Astyanax mexicanus: one gene and its partner. The protein of the gene in region 2 interacts with the protein of the main gene of each other region in a pairwise test. Links are inferred from orthologs where the notes say so. Each region holds a gene or a part of one and is shown on either strand. Other genes may lie near its edges.

Region 1 (11,209 bases), on a different chromosome or scaffold from region 2:
TAGCGTTGAGTGGGCTGCGGGGGGCGCTGCTGCAGCGGGGTCAGTTTACCTGCTGTAGGTGTTCTAATGCTGCTAGAGCTGCTGTCTCACCTGAGTACCAACCACAGTACTGGTGTCTAAGACACCTGAGCAAACCAAACACCCCTGTGATCACCAGCACAATGGTCCACACCACACCAGCATCCAGCACCAGAGAGATACGACTCTACATTTAAACAACCTTCAGTTAATTGGTTATTAGATTTCATTTGAAATAATTATTTTATTATGAAGCGTTAGATGTTGTTTGGTGTTGTTTTATGAAGACCAGCTTTAGAAGCTTTAATTAATCGGAGTATTGATTTGAAAGACTACCCCCACACACACACACACGCACGCACACACACTGTCCGAGGCATTATCCTGAAGCCATCAGCCAATCACAGTGCACAACTAATCCCGCTGCAGCAGATCTGCTGTACTGATCCTGATCCTGCATGTGGATATTTAATGAAATGCTTTGTAGTGTTTTATCTCTCTGTGTGTTTGTTTGTGTGTGTGTGTCCAATGCTGCGTTCACATTTCAGGATTTCGTACTCTGACTGATCTCTGTCTGATTCACTGAGGTCTGATCATATGTATTACATGCCAAAAGTCATGGGAGAAGAACTAGTATGGTGTCCCATGACTTTTGGCATACTCCATTGACACTAAACAGTGCTGCATTGAGCCGTGGAATATGTGAGTGGAGTCTCCTGCAGTAAATGTGGGTGTGACTTCACAAGTCTCTGTTTATTACACGGGCAATTCTAGCCAGACGCCTCCGCTCTTCATCACTCTATCATGGTGATATTAGCTTCAATGGAGTATTTCCATCCATCTGCACCCAATTTTAGGATCAGTTTTTAAACAACCACACTTATAACATCTCAATACTTATACAGGTGTTGGCATTTGCAAGCCCTCTGTCCCCTGAGGAATCACTTAATGATCAGTTTACATCCTGCTGTCCCAGGACTTTATGGTAAAAAGGTATCCTATCATGATAAAACATATCACAAAAATATATATTGTCATTCTGCCCAGAATGACTAAACAACACGGAATGACTATGCATGACGAATTAAACAATCAGCGCAGTAAAATTCAATCAATTATTCATGATTATTCTGCAGATTCATTAATTAGCCACGTCAAATTTAGTATCTGATGTTTTACAGAAGAAGATGGTAGACTAATGTTGCTAAACATTCTGGAAATCAGCACAAATAACCCATAAAAACTGTTACAACATATATATATATATATATATATATATATATATATATATATATATATATGGGTAAAGCAGGTCTATTTTAACATAAGTCGTGTAATTCACTTAAGAAGGTTTAAAGTTTACGTATCTGTGAGTTTATTGGCTGGTTTAAAAATAGAAATCTGATTATTATCTAACTCCTGTTACTCTGAAGTTTTCCCCAATTATTTGATTACCCACATTGATATAAAGTAAAGTTGATCTGAAACTGATAAATTTTCACTCAGTGATCAGGTCTGATTATTCCTGTAATGTGAACGTGGCTGCGGGTCTGATTGTGGCATGCGATGAAATGCTTGTTAAACGCTTAAAACAAACTGTCCGTAACGTTATTCTGTCCGGTGACTGCAGTCCGATCATAAGCTCATTATTATTTAATATTTATCTGTTTTTAGATTACAGTTGTGTCATTGTGTTTATTGATCATGTGAGCAGATCGAAGCAATTTGTTGATGAAGACACTTCAGTTTACAGTTTTTATTCAGACTCTGATCTAACAGAACTGATTAGCTGCCTGTGTTGAACGAAGCGGTAAGCGCTAACTGTATGACATACACTCCTAATTCCGCATAACGACATCGTGAACATAATGATTTACCCCTTACAGCATCTCACTCTCCTCTCTTACAGTGTTTACATAAACACTGGATTCGATATCAGAGAGAGATAATCAGAACAATGTCAGTGTTCTGCTCCTCTCAATATATACAAATATTTCAGTTTAATATCAGTTTTAATTAAATGTTGATCTGGTGAGCACTTTACAGAAAATGAATGTTTACATTATAGTAATGGTAAAGTTTCTGAAACCTTTATGTTGAAAAACGGGTCTCAGAGGGCTAATTTCACAGTTAGCCTGATTAGCTAAGGGAAAACTATGATGTTTATAGTGTTTAAGTTCAGGTTTTTAGATTTTGGATAAATTTCTTAAGTTAAATAACTGTGTTTAAGGAGAATCTGACCGAAGCAGTTTTAATGTGAAAGTGTGTCCGTCTGAGTTAGCGGAATTAGCACGGCTGCAGATTGATTCCACTGGCTGTTTACAGAATATTAATTTTATGACCAAATAGAATAAGACACAAATATTAACTGTTTACATGAGGAGGAAGGTGGAGCCTGTTTGTATTATTTTATTGTTTACTGGATAAGAACTGGAACATTTTTGTCATAAACTTCATAAACATTTTAATCCAATAAAACTGAATCTCATAAACCCATGTCTGAGCAGTGATTCTCTGGCTTCTCAGCAATAGAATAACTAAAATATATACTGATTCTTTTTTTAATAATTCTAATATTGACCTTTTAGTGTTTACTGCCGCAGTTTCACCACAATACAACCACCATTACCCATAATCCTTCATCAATAAACACACATTTAAAGTCATAATTATAATTATGTTTATATACAGCTATAATCTGTTTTAACTTCCAGTCTCTCAGTTCAGAGTGTGTGATAATCAGACATGGGGTGGGGGGTTCTGACTGTGAGTTGAGCAGGTGTGTTTTCACTCAGGTGTTTCTGGGCTGCTCTTGTCGTACTGGTGTTGCTCTCCGATGTTGGAACAGTCGGCAATTCCCTCCAGTAACACACTTTCAGCATCCTGCAGCTGCACCTGAGGAGAGGGCACACCTGACCTCACACATGTGCACTCTTTAGAGATAAACCACGCCTCTAAAGAACCTTAATGTGAATATTTGTATTGATTAGAGGTCTGATTCACGGGGCACCTCACGATACAATATTATCCCAATACTGTGATTTTGCTATACTCGATATATCACAAGACAGTTCGCTGCGATACTTCACAGCATCTGTGTTACTGAAGAGAATAAAATACTCCTAAATAATCAAATATCAGTTATTATGGAATTAACCCTATTTATTTGATTATAGCTCCACCATGTAGAGTAATAAAGCAGTAACTTTAGTAAGACTAATTAGGGCCTTAGAAAGTTTAAAGTTCCTATAATTCAATAAATATATCCATATATGATGCAGGCTAAATGGGTGGAGACTTTAAAGCAGACTATGGATTGGATGGGACCGAAACTTAACATTTTGAGACACATTTAGCTCATGTATTATACAGCGATGTGTACTATAAATCAATTATGGGAGTGTTTATGGTGCTCTTAGGACACTCCGAGAAAATAGTAAATAGGGAGCTATTTTGATCACAGCCACCAACAATATTTTTTGTAGTCTATAAGCTAAATATGTAAATATATTAAATGTAATTTTTACCTGAGGGATGGGATAAACTGTGGGTGTGGCTGCATGCTCTCGTCCGAAATCGCACATCGTACCACACTTCGCCACGTCGTCCACCCAGAACCCCTCGTACAGCTGACCTTTATCCAGGTAGAAAAAGCAACCGGGTCCGTTTTTCCTCCCGTCTTTCCAGCTTCCTTCATACCTGTTCCCGTTTGCTTCAACACACAGACATAAATAAATTAGCTACCTGTCTGAATGCTGCTACAGCAGCTGTATTATTTAAGGTGGAACGGACAGTTTTGTTAAAGAATTTAGGGCAGTTCAGGGGAACTGTGGATGTCAAGATGAGCTCTGGAAGACCAAGAAACCTCAGGAGATGTACCGCATATGCTGGTAAGACAAGGCAAAAACAACCTCATATAACTGACAGAAAACTGCAGGAGACACCTGTACAGTGTTCTAATAAAACTTCTGCACCATTTAAGGTTGAACTGATAATTCCATTATGTGAGGATTTAGCCATGAGGTTAGCACTATTCTAATTGGTGGGGTACAGGCTTATATAACTGGGTGTGTGGTCAGTACCAAGTGTTAGGACGCCCTGTCCATGTGGTTTGTCCTTCAGCCACTCCCCCTCATAAACATCTCCATTGGGGTAGAACATCCTGCCTGAGCCACTTCTCTCATGCTCCACCCACTGACCCTCATACAATGAGCTGGGGCTGTAGACCTCCATTCCAAAACCCTAAACACACAAACACATTTAGTCACACCCATTTAGTCCTCCAAAAGTTTAGCTCCAACCATTCTGCTTTTCAGAGGTTTAGCCCCACTCATTCAGCTCTTCAGAAGTTTAGCCCCACCAATTCAGCCCTTCAGCTGTTTGGCTCCACCCATTCAGCATTTTAACCCTCCCCATTCAGCCTATAAAAGTTAGGGCCCTCCCAGTAGACTCACCTCCTTCTTGTCGTTTTTCCATTCTCCTGAGTAAATCACCTCGTAGTTGTTAGAGGGTGGCGACTGTTTGCTCAAAGTGCCGAAACCATCCCGCTTCCCAAACCTCCACTCACCATCATAAACCACACCTGCCCTTTTCCACACCTGAGTTCCCTTACCTGCACACAGTAGAGCAATCGGCACCCTTAGCACTCACCATAACACATATAACTCAGTATCCTGTACAGTTCAGTATATGTATATTTAATTTAGCAGAGTGCATAGAAATAGATCTGTAGTGTGTAGAGTTCAGTAATGCATAGTGTAAGTTCAGCAGTGTGTATAAAGTTTAGTAATGCGTATAGTTAGTTAATGTGTGCACAGATATTTTAGTAGTCTGTATAGTTAGTTCAGTATTTTTTGTATAGAGTTAGTTCAGTGTGTGCAGACTTAGTTTAGTAGTGTGTTAGTTAGTTCAGTACAATGTATAGTTAGTTCAGTAGTGGGTATAAAGTTTAGTAATGCATATAGTTAGTTCAATAGTGCAAATAGAGCAGAACCATAAGGAGAATGTTGTGGATCTTGGTACCATGTTTGCGGTTCTGCAGCCACTCTCCAGTGTACTGGTCACCAGTAACAGAGAACACCGTCCGGAGAACACCGTTCTTCTCCGCCTTCTTGTCCCACAGTCTGGTGAGAGACATCGCTCCAAGTTAACTGGACCTGGTTCTGGGGTTCAGAGTGGGTCTCAGGCTCAGCAGAGCTGGGTTCAGCTGCTTTAACTCGTTTCTAGAGGCTGTAACTCGGTTCTGGATTCTGTAACCCAGTTCTGAAGGCTGTAACTCGCTTTAGGATTCTGTAACCCCTTTCTTAAAAGCTGTTACTCGGTTCTGGTGGCTGTAACTCAGTTTTGGTTCTGGTTCTGAAGGCTGTGACTCAGTTCCGGAGGCTGTCACTCAGTTCTGGTGTCTGTAATTTAGTTCTGGAGGCTATGACTTGGTACTGTTTCTAGAGGCTGTGACTCAGTTCTGGTTCTGGAGGCTGTAACTCAGTCCTGCTTCTGGTTCTGAAGGCTGTAACTCCGTTCTGGTTCTGGAGACTTAAACTCACTTCTTGAGGTTATAAATCGTTTCTGGAGGCTCTAATTCGGTTCTGGAGGCTCTAATTCTGTTCTGGAGGCTGTGACTCGGTTCTAAAGGCTTTAACTCAGTTCTGGAGGCTGTGACTCGGTTCTGGTTCTGGCGAGTTTGTGGTGAATCTGCAGATCAGTAACTTTATCGGCCGCATTTTGTTTACTGCGTATCATGGCAACCCGGCTGTGTTCCAAACTGCCTCATTTAAATTGTCCCAATTCGGGAGCTACCCTTCCTCCCTTCACTACTGAAACCTACACAAACACGGCCCTGTACTTTATTACTGTTTACTTTCATCAATACAAATAAGATATATAATAAAGCTATTAAAACTGCTAAACTACAGAGTGTATAAATATATAATACCGACAGTAAATAATCTTTATACCGAATTTTCTCACAATACTAGTAATATTTCTTACTTCTAAACATTAATTTATTTATAAAGGATTTGTATATATCAGTCATTTTGAGTTAAAAAAGTATCTAAAAACATGAGGAAATTAATATCTGTAAAGTTAAATATTTCCTAAACAGAGAATTAACTTTATATACTTTAATAAAAAAGTTTTAAAGCTTTAAACCGAGGCTTGGAAGGGCTGGAAGTCGATTCTTAACGAAGTCGATTCTTAAAGGAGTCGATTCTCAAATTTCGCGAGTTTGGGAATCAGGAGTCGTCACCTTCACACTCACTCATTAAAAAGACAGGTTAGTTATTTTAGCTGATAATGTAACAGGATTATGAATTTTGTAATAACATTTTTTAAGATTATTTCTAGGTTATAAAGTTTGCATAGAATTCATGGGGAATCGACTCTTGTGACCACGTGACCATTGAAAACTGATTCAGAGTTGTGTTTAAAAAAAAATTTTTAAACTCGGCTCTGAATGAATTAGTGTTAGTCAGTAAACGTTATAAATATAAATATTTATTATATTTACTGCTTAGAAACTATATTCATCATTTTAAATATTAATATTAATTTTATTCTAAAACAGATCGGAGCTGCTGATTACAGATTACAGGCTGCACTCGGTAGGCGGCGCCAGGGAGCGCTGATACTCCAAGTATGACGCGCAGAAGAAGCACAGCAGCCAGTCAGCGCTAAGTGGCAGAACGGGCCGCGTCCCTTTATGCGCCCTCGCTCCCTTCCTCGAGCCCTTAATCAGCGAGGAACTTTCTGTCCTGCGTTTTCTTCTTGTTTTTTCTCGAGTTCTGCTCCAAATCCTCCCGCAGGCGGCAGAACTCCGTTCACGAAGAACACCAACCCCGCAAACACCAGCACGCCCTGGAACTCAAGCGTACTTCGTAGGACACGAGTGAGGGTATTGGAACTCGTCCGCGGGCAGCGAGGGACAGTGTATTGAGTGTGGACGCGGCTACAATGTCACTGGAGCGCTGTGAGAGTGACTGGAGGGAAATAGAGCAGGAATATCAGCAGCTACAGGTTTGGGGGAGTAATTGATTAGCCTGGGGATTGATTTTTGATCAGTATTAATGAGTGATAAGGTGGTAAAGTGTGTATATGTGGGTATAATCAGGTCTAACCCTGGATATGGTGGCTACCATGCCTGCTGAAAGGTGGATTTGGCAGTGTTTAGTTGTTTAAGTTTTATGTTTTGTTATTGTTTGATTGATTTGCTGATTATATTTCATAATGATTAGCTTGTCTTTACATCCCTGGAGGTCAGTAACCACTTACGAAGCCTGTACTTACTAGCTAAAGCTAGATGGAGGACATTAAGTATAAACCCGCTCCGGGATTTCGCTCCGACTCCCTGTATGGCTCCGCTGCAGCGGATCCAGCCAGGGAGTCGGAGCGAAATCGCGAAGGGGATTTTTACGTAAAGCTCCCAAATATGCTATATTTACAGCATTTGTTTTTGATATGATGTGTCATAACATCACATTGAGTTAAATCCAGCTTTAGTCTTTTACCTCGTCACTTACAAGAATTAAATAAAATAAATAAACACTTACAAACACTCCATACATCCTTCAGGAGGCTATCCAAATCACTGCCCCTACTAAATTTGCTCACTTCCCCTGTTTTTGTTTAGGAGACTCATAAAGTGTACAGGCAGAAGCTGGAGGAGCTGACCAGCTTGCAGGCCATCTGCAGTAGCTCCATCTGCAAACAGAGGAAAGGCCTTAAAGAGCTCCGGAAAACGCTCCACAAGTACGTATCACGACCGGATCCGGATCAGGATCCAAATCCTGGATTCTGTTTACACTTCAGCTCACTTCACCTCAACTTTACTTTACTATAGTTCAGTTTAGTATAACCTGGTTTCTGGTTGGTCAGCTGAGCCATAATACAATGCTATGATTGGTATGATATGATGTGATTGTGTGTGTGTTTGTGATTAATGGGGGGTGACTGATATGGACTGATGTTATGGTATGACTGGTTTTAGTCATAAGTGGTTTAATTGTGTTTTGATTAATATGATGTGATTTAGTTAGTGGGATGTAACTGATGTATGTTAGAGTGTTGTCTTTCGTTTTATGTGATGTGATTGTGTGTGATGTAATTAATGTAATTATATGTTTTGTTTCAAACGTGTGCGATTGCATAAAATTGATGTGCTGTGATATGTTAATTAATGTGATTAATATAAGCAGGTGTGTGAAATTGTGTGATTTAAATGTATATAATGTGATTAATGTATATATACATTATAATGATATAATATAATAAGAACAATATAATGTTACAATGTGATGAATGTATTCAGGTGTGCAAAGGCATGTGATGCGGACCAATCGGAGGTGATCGCTGATCTGCAGACTCAGATTAAGGAGAAGCAGAATGTGTTCTTTGATATGGAATCTTATTTACCAAAGAGGAACGGGTAAGTAATCAGATCAGTGCGTTCTGTAACAGTAATAATCGGATAATCAGCACAGCAGCAGCTGATTATGATCAAATTACTGAGACCTTCTGTCTCCCTTTTTTCTGCCCAGCACTCAGTTGCACCCCTCAGTCCTCTGGGGCTGGGCATTGTTGTTACGGTGGTTCTGTTGGATTGATTGTGGTTCTTTGTTCTACAGGCTGTATTTAAATCTGGTCCTGGGGAATGTGAATGTTACACTACTGAGTAATCAGGCAAAGTAAGTCCCATAAATCATTGCAAATTATGAAAATATTACACTTTTTCCTGATTATTAATTGGATAAATATCGCTGATGTGTGTTTCAGGTTTGCGTATAAAGATGAATATGAGAAGTTTAAGCTTTATATGACTATAATCCTAATGTTCGGCGCTGTTACCTGTCTCTTCCTGCTTAACTACCGGTGAGTCCGCCTGCACCGTACATCCACCAATCAGAGCATCACATGCCTCCTCCCACTGCCAAACTCCGCCCAACAACGGCCAAACCCCTCCAGACAACTACCAAAACTTGCACGACAACTGCTAAACCCGGCCAACTCTAGTGTGCATTAATAGTGATGACTAATTATATTGCTGTTTGTGTATAGAAAACGTGTGTGTGTGTGTTGCAGTGTTACAGATGAAATCTTTAATTTTTTGTTGGTGTGGTATTACTGCACTCTGACCATCCGGGAGAGTATACTGATGAGTAACGGCTCCAGGTCAGATCAGACTCCACCTCTTCCTATTACATCACTCTGTTATTACTGCAGTTATTATATTAATAATTAGTAATACTGTTATAATCTGATATATGTTAATTATTTTCCCCTGCAGGATTAAGGGCTGGTGGGTGTCACATCACTACGTGTCGACCTTCCTGTCGGGAGTGATGCTCACCTGGTGAGATTCAGATAATTGACCCTATTATATTCATCAGAACCCATATACAGCTTTATCTGAACTTCTGTAGACCTAATGGGTGGGGCTAAAGGGCTTTAGACGGAATGGGCGGGACTAATCGGCTGTAGACTGAATGGCTAAACTGTAATAGGTTAAATGAGCGTGGCTAAACGGCTGAAAATGTAATATGTAAATTTGCTGTTCTGTTTCAGGCCTGAGGGGGCGATATATCAACTGTTCAGGAGTCAATTCCTCGCCTTCTCCATTTACCAGAGTAAGACACACACACACACACACACACACACACACTCTGGCTGTGTCCCAATGGTGTCCTACACTCTAATACTGTAAGTTATAGATTATTTTATATTAATAGTGCGGGTTTGGTAGGTTCGTGCACTAAATATTAATATACTATCTAATTTAGTAATAACAGGAAGTTATATGGTGTTGCTACGCCAACATGCATCACTGCAGGTTCTCCAAGTGCAGTGTGATCACAGTTGGGACACACCCATTGTTACTCCAAGCTGTGTGTCCCTGTGTTAATGTTTGACTTTGTGTGTGTGTTGCAGGTTTAGTACAGTTTCTGCAATATTATTATCAGAGTGGGTGTCTGTATCGGCTCCGGGCTCTGGGGGAGAGGAACCAGCTGGACCTGACCGTAGGTGAGCCCAGTCACCAACAGAACCTGCAGCATCACGATCAGATACCAGGGGGTGCTTTAAAGAATCCATAGAGCTTCAGAACAAGGCTTTCTAAACAATTAATTAATAAGCAACAATAACACCAACCAATAAACACACAGCAACAATAACACTGACCAATCAGCACTCAGTATCAGCAGTGGGAGGAGTTTAGGTGGTATGGACCAGTGTTTAGTGTAGTGGGTAATCACTCCACCATCTCCGTGGCAGAAGAGGGTTTAATTCCCTGCACCCGATATCTAAACTCAGATCAACATTAAACTCGGCATACAGTGGAAAATCCTCTGTTTATTAATCTAAAGCAGCTGAAGAGGAAATAAAATACACAATAATAAAAAGCCGTATGGTGTGTGTTGTAGAGGGGTTCCAGTCATGGATGTGGAGGGGTTTAACCTTCCTGCTGCCATTTCTCTTCTTTGGACATGTGAGTACCATCATTACTGTAGCTGCCTTATCTCACATTACCATACCTAACATTACCTTACCTTAAATAACCTCATCTGGCATTACCTTACCCTATACACACTGTATTTAAAACAGTTCTCCGGTGTTTATCATTCATCTGTGTCTGCTGATTACATCAGAACATACTGCTCTTCCCCAGAACTCTAAAATCACACACTGAGTACTTTAATAAGCAGATACTTCAGAAACAAACACTGCAGTGTGTGTGTATATACATACACCAATCAAGCATAACCTTATGACAACTGCCTTGTTTCTACACATATTATCCAGTATATCTTTAGCTCCACTGCTCAAATATTTCACTCAGTAGTTGTATAATATTTACAGACTGTAGTTCTGTATCTGTTTTTCTAATACTTTATTATTTATCTCCTTTCATTCTGTTCTTCAATACTCACAGAGCAGCTATTATTATTTGAGTGGTGGGTCGTTATTCTCAACACTGCAGTACTAAACTGCTGTACTGAGAATAGTGCACCAACCAAATAATAATAGCTGCTCTATTGTGGTCTCTCCTGTGGGGTCTCCTGTGGGGTGTGTAGAGTGTGAGTAATAACTGGAGTGTGTTTTGTGTGCAGTTCTGGCAGCTGTATAACTCAGTGACTCTGTTCCGGCTGTCTGCTCGCGAAGACTGCAAAGAGTGGCAGGTAAACAGCTCATTCCTAGTTCG
Region 2 (11,561 bases):
TGTTGACTTAAAAAAGTAACTATAAAATATAGTAAAGCATAACCTCACACACATCAAACTTTAAAACATTTGAAACTCCAGCATCCAACTTCTACTAGGTTGATTCTCTAAGTCCAAACCTTCTAGCAAGGACAGAAATAAGCACAGAGTTAGGGTAGGTCTTCTAAGTTCATGAGCCTCTGTTGGCATGCACAAAGGCCACAGTCAGACTCTACACTATAACAGAGAGGCACAGCAACAGTCTCTGTCTGATCGCATAGAACCTCATCTCCTAAGGCTGTAATGGAGATATAGCGCTCGGCCTGAGGAATATGCTGGGAGCGCAACATCAAGGCCTTCCCATCCTGAACAGGATCTCCATATAGTGCTGGCTGGAGTTTCAGCAGGGGAAAGCACTTTAATCAGTTAGAACATGTATCAAGCAGATCATACTTTGTATATGAAAGACAGCATCTCTACATATTACTAACATATACATCACTTATTCCCATGCCAGATGTTTGTTTATACATATTATCCCAGATAACATGCTCATGTGGGACCTGTGTAGGTAGCCCAACTAGAAACAAGACAGTTCTGAACATGTGTTCCATGTGGGCTCCACATATGCATGTCAGTGATGGGACCATTAGGGGTTTTAAATCTGGATCCCACCTAGGTTTTAAGAACCCCTCATTTGACTGTAATGATGGGGTCCATACACATATACAACTCCAGAAAAAAAATTAAGAGACCATTTCTGAATCAGTTTCCCTGGCTTTGCTATTTATAGTTACATGTTTGAGTAAAATTAATGTTGTTGTTTTATTCTATAAACTACGGACAACGTTTCTCCCAAATTCCAAATAAAAATATTGCCATTTTGAGCATTTTTTTTAAGAAAATGAGAAATGGCTGCAATAACAAAAAAGGCAGAGCTTATAGACCTCAAATAATGCAAAGTAAACAAGTTCATATTCATAAAGTTTAAAAAATTTCAGAAATCAATATATGGTGGAATAACCCTGGGTTTTAATCACAGTTTTCATGTATCTTGGTATCTTCTCCTCCACCAGTCTTGCACACTGCTTTTGTATAGCTTTATGCCACTCCTGGTGATAAAATTCAAACAGTTCAGCTTGGTTTGATGGCTTGTGATCATTTATCTTCCTCTTGATTATATCTAGTGGTTTTGAATTTGGTAAAACTAAAAAGAACTCATCATTGTGAAGTGGTCTCTTATTTTTTTCCAGAGCTGTAAAAACACACTTGCCCACCTGGCTGGAACCCACCTAGGCCACATTTCATCCATGTAAGTCCTATATGTACGGAGCCCGGGAGGGGCCGTGGATAAAAAAAACAATTAAATCGAGTGAACGATGTAGCAGTTCGTGCTCACGTTTTCTTTAATTCGAGTGAACGATTTGCAATTCGTGCTCACGATTTCTTTAATTCGTGCTCACGATTTCTGTAATTCGTGCGCACGATTTCTGTAATTCGAGTGAACGATTTCTGTAATTCGTGCTCACGTTTTTATGCGCAATAAGACAAGAAGCTCGGAGGGAAAGGAGCATTTTCTCTCTTGATCTGTTACAGGGGTGCAGTAATGATAATCAGTTATCTACCTTTATAACCTGCTGTTATTAATGCACTAGTGTTACAGTTAGATGTACAGTACAGTGAGCAGATTTTGCCTGGTGGTGGAATCTCTACAGCGCGTGGGGGAGAGCCGTCCGCGGCATCGGTTCCCCCGCCGCCAGACACCTGCCGCGCGCGCAGGTCTTCACGGAGCTTATTTACCAACAATGTAGACAAATACAGTCAATTCCAGTCATGATTAAAGGAAACAAACATTACTAATGCAGGATAACTGTGTGTTATTAAAACCAGATCAAAACAAAGTTATAATGCAATGTGGAACTGTTTATAATTTCTTATTTCCAACAATAGTATAACGTAAAGAAGTATAATTATATAAATATACAGCTATAAGACTTAGGTCCAAATGTACACTGTAAAAGTTAATAAAGATAATACAAAATTAATGCAAGGTGTGACAGTTGTCTATGAATGGCTCATATAAGAGCTGCTTTAAATATGTAACACTATATAAAATCAAAATAGCTGGTCTAAAATACTATTAATACAATGTATTAAGATATTTAGTAAATAGGCATTTCATATAATAATTTGGATCAATTTGATAATTTATTCCAATATGTTTCCTAAAATAATTAAGTTTCTATATCTGATGAAATGTCCTGAATATCTGCTTATTCTCAAATCACAGTGTCCTGCCCAGAAACATGCCACAAGCTTCAAATAAAAAAAATATAATAATTATAAACTTCTTAAATGTATATTTTCTGAATTATGTGTTTATTTATTATACAAATTATTAAAATATAGATTAAATCTATCATAAAAGTAATAATGATGTAACCAGATTTAAGAAGGTGTGCATTTCCTTGGAGGCTGGCTGAATGTTATTTAGAAATTAATAAACACATTTGCACATTGCATTATAACTTTGTTTTGATCTGGTTTTAATAACACACAGTTGTCCTGCATCAGTAAAATGTTTGTTTCCTTTATTCATGACTGGAATTGACTGTATTTGTCTACATTGTTGGTAAATAAGCTCCGTGAAGACCTGCGCGCGCGGCAGGTGTCTGGCGGCGGGGGAACCGATGCCGCGGACGGCTCTCCCCCACGCGCTGTAGAGATTCCACCACCAGGCAAAATCTGCTCACTGTACTGTACATCTAACTGTAACACTAGTGCATTAATAACAGCAGGTTATAAAGGTAGATAACTGATTATCATTACTGCACCCCTGTAACAGATCAAGAGAGAAAATGCTCCTTTCCCTCCGAGCTTCTTGTCTTATTGCGCATAAAAACGTGAGCACGAATTACAGAAATCGTTCACTCGAATTACAGAAATCGTGCGCACGAATTACAGAAATCGTGAGCACGAATTAAAGAAATCGTGAGCACGAATTGCAAATCGTTCACTCGAATTAAAGAAAACGTGAGCACGAACTGCTACATCGTTCACTCGATTTTATTATTTTTTTTATCCACGGCCCCTCCCGGGCTCCGTATATATGAGAGTGTTAGTCACGACTGTATTCATACACATGCTTCATACCACACATTCATCATAATGCAAGACAGAAGGAAGCTGACTAGCTTGAACTAAAAACTGAAACATATATACTTCAAATGTATACCTTAATAAAACTCCTCAATATAACACATTTAGATTCAAGAACTGACCTGCTCCACCTGCACATACTCTCCGTGCTGTTCAAAGCCATTATCGTATATATACTTCCCTTGACCTATGGGCTGAAAATAAAAGTGATTTTAAAGAACATAATACTGATGCAACAGAAATCAATGCATTCATTTAAAGCAAAGTGCAGTGGCATGTGAGTGAAAAAGAACTGACTTACTTTATTGTTGAAAAAGTTGCCCTGGTATCTGTAGCTTAGGTGTATAAACTCTCCAGCGGACTCCATCTTACCCTTGACCCATGTGCCAGTGTACTTAAGGCCTGTATCATGGTATGTGTACACTCCCTGGCCATGCCTGTGAAGTGAAGAGAAAAGGAGAGTTAGGAAAAGTCAGTAGATAATAGACCTTGCTATTGTTGGTAGCATCTGTTTATGATTCAGTTTTCTGGATGAGTCAGGGTGCTCCCCTTAGAAGGCCTTGTCCTCTCATTGTGACTCTTATAGTTCAAATATGCTTATATAAATACATATTTCCATTTTGCAGCCCTTAAAATTATTGGTTATTCATGATTTACTGAAAATTATCCATGGGATATTTTCATGGTAATCAATATTTATTTTGGTCTATTTTTTTATATCATATAAACCATTTTAGCTAAATTAAGATCTTTTCTTTGCTTGTATGTTTGTAAAGAACTGCCCTGGTGTAAGAAAAAATATGCATAACTACACTTTCCTTGACAGAATAAATGCTATGTATAAAAGATAGCCTATTATAGTGAGTTATGAGGACTGGGTTGTCAGTTTTACCTCTGATGCTGCACCCACTCTCCATCATATGTGTCCCCATTGGAATATGTATAAACGCCATGACCTTGCCGCTGGTCTTCCACCCAGAAACCTAACAGAGAACAGGAAGGAAACAGAACAGACAGACTGTATTCTGAACCTTTAAAGTAATGAACTCTACTTATTCTGAAGATTTTTTTTAAACTCTCACCTTCATACTTGGAACCGTCTGGGTAGTAGAAAATGCCCTGTCCATGTTTTAGGTTCAGGTAATATTCCCCTATATATCGAGCTTGATTCCTGAATATGTATGTTCCCTGAAAATTTATACATTTCAGCTTTTAGTTTTTGTTAAAAACATAAAAACAACAGCAACTTGCGGGAAGAAGGTAAGGTAAGGTACTAAATCATAAATATTACAAAAAAAATAATCTATTTTAAATACAAGTTTAAAACATTGTAATTAATACAAGTAATAATAATTCAATTAAATACAAGTAATTTCTCTTGGTCCACACAGATGCAGTTTTTGCTAATGGGTGCTCTATGTGTTTAAATTAAATACCTTCCCGGATCTTTTCCCGTGTTCATACTGTCCTTCGTAAATGTCTCCGTTGGGCAGAACCGCTTTGCCAGAGCCGTGTCTCTCCCCGGCTTCATTCCGCTCCCCACTGTACTCCTAATAAACACACACCAGCACAGTTACTAAATCACCCACCAACACCTACTGACACAGTTACAGTTACTAACTCACCCACAGCTACTGACACTCACTACAGCACACACACACCAGCACAGTAACTAACTCACCCACAGCTACTGACACTCACTACAGCACAAACACACCAGCACAGTTACTAACTTACCCACAGCTACTGACACATTTACAGTTACTAACTCACCCACAACTACTGACACTTACTACAGCACACACACACACACACACACACACACACACCAGCACAGTTACTAACTTACCCACAGCTACTGACAATTACCACAGCACACACACACCTGCACAGTTACTAACTCACCCACAGCTACTGACACTAACCAGAGCACACACACACACCAGCACAGTTACTAACACACCCACAGCTACTGACACTAACCAGAGCACACACGCACACACACACACACACACAACACCACCACCACAGTTACTAACTCACCCACAGCTACTGACACTGACCAGAGCACACACACAAATACACACGCATACCAGCATAGTTACTAACTCACCCACAGCTACTGACTCTCACCACAGCACACAAACACACACAGACAACATACACGCCACCACCACAGTTATTAACTCACTCACAGCTACTGACACTAGAGCACACACACCAGCCCAGCACAGTTACTAAATCACCCACAGCTACTGACACTCACTACAGAACACACACACACACACACACACACACACCAGCACAGTTACTAACTTACCCACAGCTACTGACACTGACCAGAGCACATACACAAAAACACACACAACACACATACCAGCATAGTTACTAACTCACCCACAGCTACCGACTCTCACCACAGCACACACACACACAAACACACTAGCACAGTTATTAACTCACCCACAGCTAACTTACTGACATTAAGTAGAGCACACACACACACACGCAGACAACACGCACACACACCACCACAGTTACTAACTCACTCACAGCTACTGACACCAGAGCACACACACAGCACACACACACACACACACACACACACACCAACTTACTCCAGCTGACTTCTGCTCATCCTCTAGGATTTCAGATCCGGAGTCTGACATCGTTTTTTCTCAGTTAACAAAGAAACCCAGCAGTAAACGGGCGCAGTCGAGGAGCGGTAAAGAAACGCTTTCTGTTACCATGACAATGCGCGTGCACGGACTACAACAGACATGCGCAGAATCCGCCAACTGATCTCTCCAGCAGCTGGTCGACTATTGAAAATGAATCAATTATTTCTCAGGGTTTTTCTCTTTCATTTCGCTTATTTAATTCCACAGTGAACATTTTTAACCTTTTGCCTCTGCGGTTAAACTCTCTGTTCCTCCAGCAGACAGCAGCTGCGAAACATTATTCAAACTCTGCTTGTTTGAAATGTTAACTGAATTAATGTTAATGTTAAATGAATTAATGTTAAATGAATTAACTGAGTACAAATATTCAAAAAAAATAATATAAATACCTTACTTAGTTTACTGGAATAATAAAACATTAGTATTTATAAATCTACCTGAGTAACGAATGTGAAAAAGTTTTGCTTATTTGTAGACGTTTTCATGGTTTAATTATTTTGACGTATCATATCATGCTCTGCTTTTTCTGTATTATACATATACTTATATATATAACATATACTTATGTTTCCTATCACAAGTTATGTTTTTATAAAACACATTTATTTTAAAACACCTGCATTCTGACAAACCCCGCTTCGTGCAGTTTTATTGGCTAGAAAATAAGCAGTTCAAACAATTTAATTACTACACTGAACTACTGGCCAATCATGGAGCTGGAGATTGGAGCGTAGGAATTTGTGCAATAATACTTACTTAAGAGTATGTTCTGGGTTTGATAGACACTAGATTATATGTCACATCACATATAAGTACAAGTGCTGAGGTGAGTGACAAAATTGTGTACAGAACAAACACAATACTTACAACATAACAAAACATATATACACATAAATAAACATACAATACTAATACAGCTCTGGAATAAATGAGAGAACACTTAAAAACAATTTCTTTGATTTTTACCAAATTGAAAATAGTCTTCTAGAGGAAGCTGAATGATCACAAGCCATCAAATCAAGCTGAACTGCTTGTATTTTTGCACCAGTAGTGGCATAAAGTTATCCAAAAGCAATGTGAAAGACTGGTGGAGGAGAACATGCCAAGATGAATGAAAACTGTATTTAAAAACAGGGTCATTCCACCAAATATTGATTTCTTAACTCTTAAAACTTTATGAATATGAAGTCTTCTTCATATTTATTTGTCATCTCTCATTTTCTGCAAATAAAGGTTCTAAATTACTAGATTTTTATTTGGAATTTGGGGGAAAATGTTGTCTGTAATTTATAGAATAAAACAACAATATTCATTTTACTTAAACATATACCTATAAATAGCAAAATCAGAGAAAATGATTCAGAAACAAAAGTGGTCTCTTATTCTTTTTCAGAGATGTATATCTGTGCAAATATAGATGTTACATTGCTATTTACAGGTGCGTATAGTGCAGTAGTAGGTTCAATCTAACTATGAATACACTGCAGAGTGCAGTGGGATAAAGTTTATGTAGATCATGTGAGCAAAATCATATTTTATAAACGTTTGATCATTTTTAAACTGAAAAATGTACTCGTTTTTCCAACAAAGAACAATATTAAATGTTTAATTAGTGCATACATAATCTATTACCCAGTTATAATCCTTTTAAACTCATTTAAGGTTCTCTAGCTTTAACTTCATCTGCATCAGTTCAACAAGCAGTCAGCACACAGTAGCAGTAATTCTCTGATCTTTTAGCAAAATATTTTAGTCTACTTTCTACAGTTGTACAGTTAGAATGTCTCGACAAGAAAATTAATTACTTTTATAATTGTGTTTTAGCCGTTTAGCTCCATTCCACTCCATTCACTGAGAACTAACTCGCGGGCTTCCTCTAGCGGTTCACAGTTAAAATAGTGTCCACAAAACGGTTTTGGCCTCGTGACATACTTGTTGCAGTACCACGTGCCCTCAGTCATTTAGCAAAAGCAAAACAAGGAAGTGAGTGGACGGAGTGGAGGAAAGTTTCGCTGCACGGAGTCCAGCATGAACACGGGCCTGAAGATGAGTCCAGCACGCTGTTTTTACTCACTTCTGCAGATCTGCTTTCTAGCCCTGATCAGCTCTGATCAGAGTGTTTATGGGACTCAAGATTGGCCTGTTCCTTACAAGTAAGAACTGTGTATTATTTATCCGACTGTTTCAACTGTGTTCATGCAGTGGTGTAGCTTCTGTGTATGTTTTATTTTTATTTTTTTTGTAAACCTAGTCTTTTAGTATTGACGTTAGTTAGTCTAGATAACCAGTGTTAGATCACTCCAGAGACTAGCATGTTTTTTTTATTCCACAGTTCAGCTGACTGGTATTATATAGTGACAAGCACCATTCAGATGGTCCACAATGCTTGCTTATATTGCTGCTTATATTAGATTACAGGCCTCACTCACACTCACAGTCACTGCAGTGTGTTTCTCTTTTGAAACAGGCGATTTGACCGTCGTCCAGTCACTGACCCATACTGTCAAGCTCTCTACCCCTTCTGCCCCACCGGAGACCCTGATGGTCGTATTCCCTACATGAGGGACTCTGATGTGATCTCTGTGTTTCGGCTGCAGACTCCAGTGTGGGAATTTAAATACGGGGATCTCTTGGGAAAATTTGTAAGTTCTTATTGCAGAATGCATTAATCACTGTCACCAAAAAAATATATATATTTTTGCCACTTTCTCACTTACTTTTAAAATAATTTGGATTCGACAGTTATTCTTTATGTTGTAAAAAAACATAATAACTGGACCAAAATAAACGCTTTAAAATAACTTCTATTTTTCTCCTCCTCGGAAAATGTATTTTATTTAGAAAAATCTCGGAAAGAGTCCTTGTACTGTTCCATAAACTCCAAGAAAAAGTCTTAAAAATCCAGACTAAACTAAACTTAAACCATCTAACATAATTCTAGCTATTTAATTACTTCACTATTAGTAATGAATTAGTAAATAAAAACAGTGGTATTTTTCTGGCAGTTCTTATTTGGGTCTAAATTAAGGAAGGAGGAATGTGAAGTTCCTGTGAATTAAGCCTTTTACGATAATTACTTATAGTACAATAAATGGACATTACCTCAATCATTTTAATAACCATGATATCATATTGTATTTATTTGTATGCTTCTTCACATGCTTTAATAACTGCAAAATAACTGCTAAACACACACAGTGTGGACAACAGTAGGTGTAAAAAGTATATATGGGGGGGAAAAAGTAACAATAAATTCCCTAAATAAATTCATTAAACTATGATTAATTACAAAGGTGTTGTCTTTAAAAGGGAACGAATGCTTTGTTTTGCTGTTCTATTATCACTTTGTCAGTGGCATTTAAATGGTCTCTTCAATAATAGTGCAATCATTTCTGTGACTGGCCTACTGTGAAGTTGTTATTTTGAGGACACTAGTTTTTGCTTGACTGTGATCAAAGTTTAACCAGGATAAGTTTGTTATAAGTTTGGGATTGTTGTTAGGGTATCACATTATCAGATAAAAAAAACATATTTGCATTAATACAGTTAGTTACACTGTTTTAATAGTGTTCTATTCTAAGGTAATGTCTTATAATCCTTAAAAAAGAAATCTTACTTAGCAACCCACTTATCTCATAGTCTTGTAACGCATAGTCTCTCATGGATCACAGTAGTAAGTGCCCTATTTCTTTTTGTTTCAGCATATAATGCACGATGCCATTGGTTTTTCCAGCTCAGAGACAGGAAGAAACTATACTATGGAATGGTATGAGCTTTTTCAGCTTGGAAACTGCACTTTTCCTCATTTACGAAAGGACACAGCAGCTCCTTTTTGGTGTAATCAAGGCGCTGCATGCTTCTATGAGGGCATAGATGACGAGCACTGGCGACAAAATGGAACACTGGAGAAAGTGGGAGAAATGTCAGGTACTGTGCTCAGTGCAGAAGGTTTTAGTACATACAGTTAATGGTGTAATTCACAGGCTTAACAACAAAGGTCACTGACAGTTTTTCTCTTCTTTTTCTTAGGTGAGCAGTTTAACAATCTGGCACGATGGGTTCAGGAGGACAATGAGACAGGGATTTATTATGAGACATGGACAGTGCGCTCAGACCCAGGGCTCAACTCCACAACATGGTTTGAATCATATGACTGCTCACAGTTTGTACATCGCACATACAGGAAAATCAAAGAGCTGGGAGCCAAGCTCTCGAGCAGAAGTCAGACAAACTATACCAAAATATACCTGTACAGCGGAGAGCCGACCTACCTCGGCGACGATGACTCTATCTTCGGCCAGTCCTCCATGAAAGCTCTGGCTACAGATATTAGAGAGTTTTACCACTCTTTCCAGCCTCATCAATCAATGATTCAGTTCATCCTCAGTCTGATGGAAGCCTACAAAAAAGTAGTACTGGAGAAGACATTCTATTTGTACTACAACTTTGAGTACTGGCACCTGCCAATGAAGGCACCGTACATCCAAATTACTTACGAGGAAGTTCCTTTACCACATTAAGACTGCATTTTTTACATGAGGATTTTGTTGACTGTGATTATCCAATGAAGTCTGACTAACTACGGATTAAAAGGCTCATACTTTACATATTTTTCTATGGCTTCATCTACCAAACCAGTTATTCAGTTTGTTGTTTGTTTGACCAGTCATTGCTTATTTTATTGAGACTTATGAAATGAATGCATGATATTAAATGGTTTTTCCCAGATCTCATTTATTTTGAATTATTCATCATGCTATTTTACAATACTTAGTTGGTCTTTGTCACAAACAATGAAATGCATGTTTTCTTATATATATATATATATATATTTTTTTTTTTTTACTTTTTTAGGGGAAGGTACATTTGGAAAAACACATTAACAGTGTTTAGATGACATTACATAAAACAGTTCCTTTCTAAAACCTAGAAGGCTATGTGAATTTACGGTATAGTCCTGATTTTTTGCTGGAGTAACATTTTGCTAGCATGGGTGTCGCCATGTTTCCCCTCTAATGGAGAAGCGCCTAAGTAAACAAAACTGTAATTTTTTAAAAAACATTTAAACGAGCGCTGGATGTTAATATACACAGATTTTTCTACTGAAAACTATTTATTTGGGTAAGTAAAGCGCTTCTGTTTATTTACAGTAAGCTTAGAATTCCAGTAATTTGTCCAAATGTGAGTGCTAGCTGTGGTTAGCAGCATAGGCAACTGCGGTTTGCAATGCTAGCTAGCCCTGGTTAGCAGTATAACCAGCTACTGTTAGCAGCATAGCCAGCCGTGGTTAGCTGGGCTAACTAGCCCAGTTAACAGTGATTCTCAGCCCCAGTTATCTCCCTTATACTATGTAATTTATCAGTACTGGTAGCTTTACTTACCCCCTTACAACCTGGCTGTTGGAATTCATACATAAGGAGCAATGGATTATAACGTTAAGGCACACTGACGATTTTGGCGAAAATGAAGCATTTTAGGTGCGCCTTATAGTCCAAAAAAATACGGTATAATATCATTTGGGCTTGTTGAACACTAAGTGGTTGTGTAAAAAAGGTTGTGACTAAGTTGAGAGCACAAAACATAAAATGAGGATTAATGGGAAAAAGCCACACATTAGGAATTTAATGCAATTTTATTAGAACAATGCAAAATGTGAAGCTAGTAAGCATGTTGAAAATGACAAGCTGATGCTTACATACCAAGTTTTCACCCCAAAACAATGTATTTATGTATGTTAAACTG

Evidence for each region.
Region 1: the proteins of rsph1 (region 2) and morn3 interact in binary tests that used the Homo sapiens proteins (3 or more experiments, as listed by UniProt). The two-hybrid records come from large-scale screens. The link is inferred for Astyanax mexicanus from reciprocal best matches to the Homo sapiens genes RSPH1 and MORN3.

Annotation. Positions count from the first base shown.
Region 1 is NC_064427.1:22,462,285-22,473,493, forward strand, and holds morn3 (MORN repeat-containing protein 3), read right to left. Parts: upstream 5,900-11,209; 5' UTR 5,156-5,899; coding exon 5,041-5,155; intron 4,631-5,040; coding exon 4,473-4,630; intron 4,261-4,472; coding exon 4,101-4,260; intron 3,731-4,100; coding exon 3,546-3,730; intron 2,914-3,545; coding exon 2,806-2,913; 3' UTR 2,682-2,805; downstream 1-2,681. Other genes in the region: orai1b (calcium release-activated calcium channel protein 1), read left to right, coding at 1-3; tmem120b (transmembrane protein 120B), read left to right, coding at 6,970-7,032, 7,646-7,764, 8,324-8,440, 8,640-8,699, 8,788-8,883, 9,094-9,183, 9,299-9,364, 9,577-9,638 and 3 more. UniProt on the Homo sapiens protein: Assembles a suppression complex (suppresome) by tethering SIRT1 and MDM2 to regulate composite modifications of p53/TP53.
Region 2 is NC_064418.1:27,594,033-27,605,593, forward strand, and holds the start of rsph1 (radial spoke head 1 homolog), read right to left. Parts: upstream 5,921-11,561; 5' UTR 5,808-5,920; coding exon 5,757-5,807; intron 4,689-5,756; coding exon 4,575-4,688; intron 4,327-4,574; coding exon 4,221-4,326; intron 4,122-4,220; coding exon 4,031-4,121; intron 3,576-4,030; coding exon 3,440-3,575; intron 3,333-3,439; coding exon 3,261-3,332; intron 1-3,260. Other genes in the region: cln5 (ceroid-lipofuscinosis neuronal protein 5), read left to right, coding at 7,848-7,972, 8,287-8,461, 9,521-9,746, 9,849-10,339.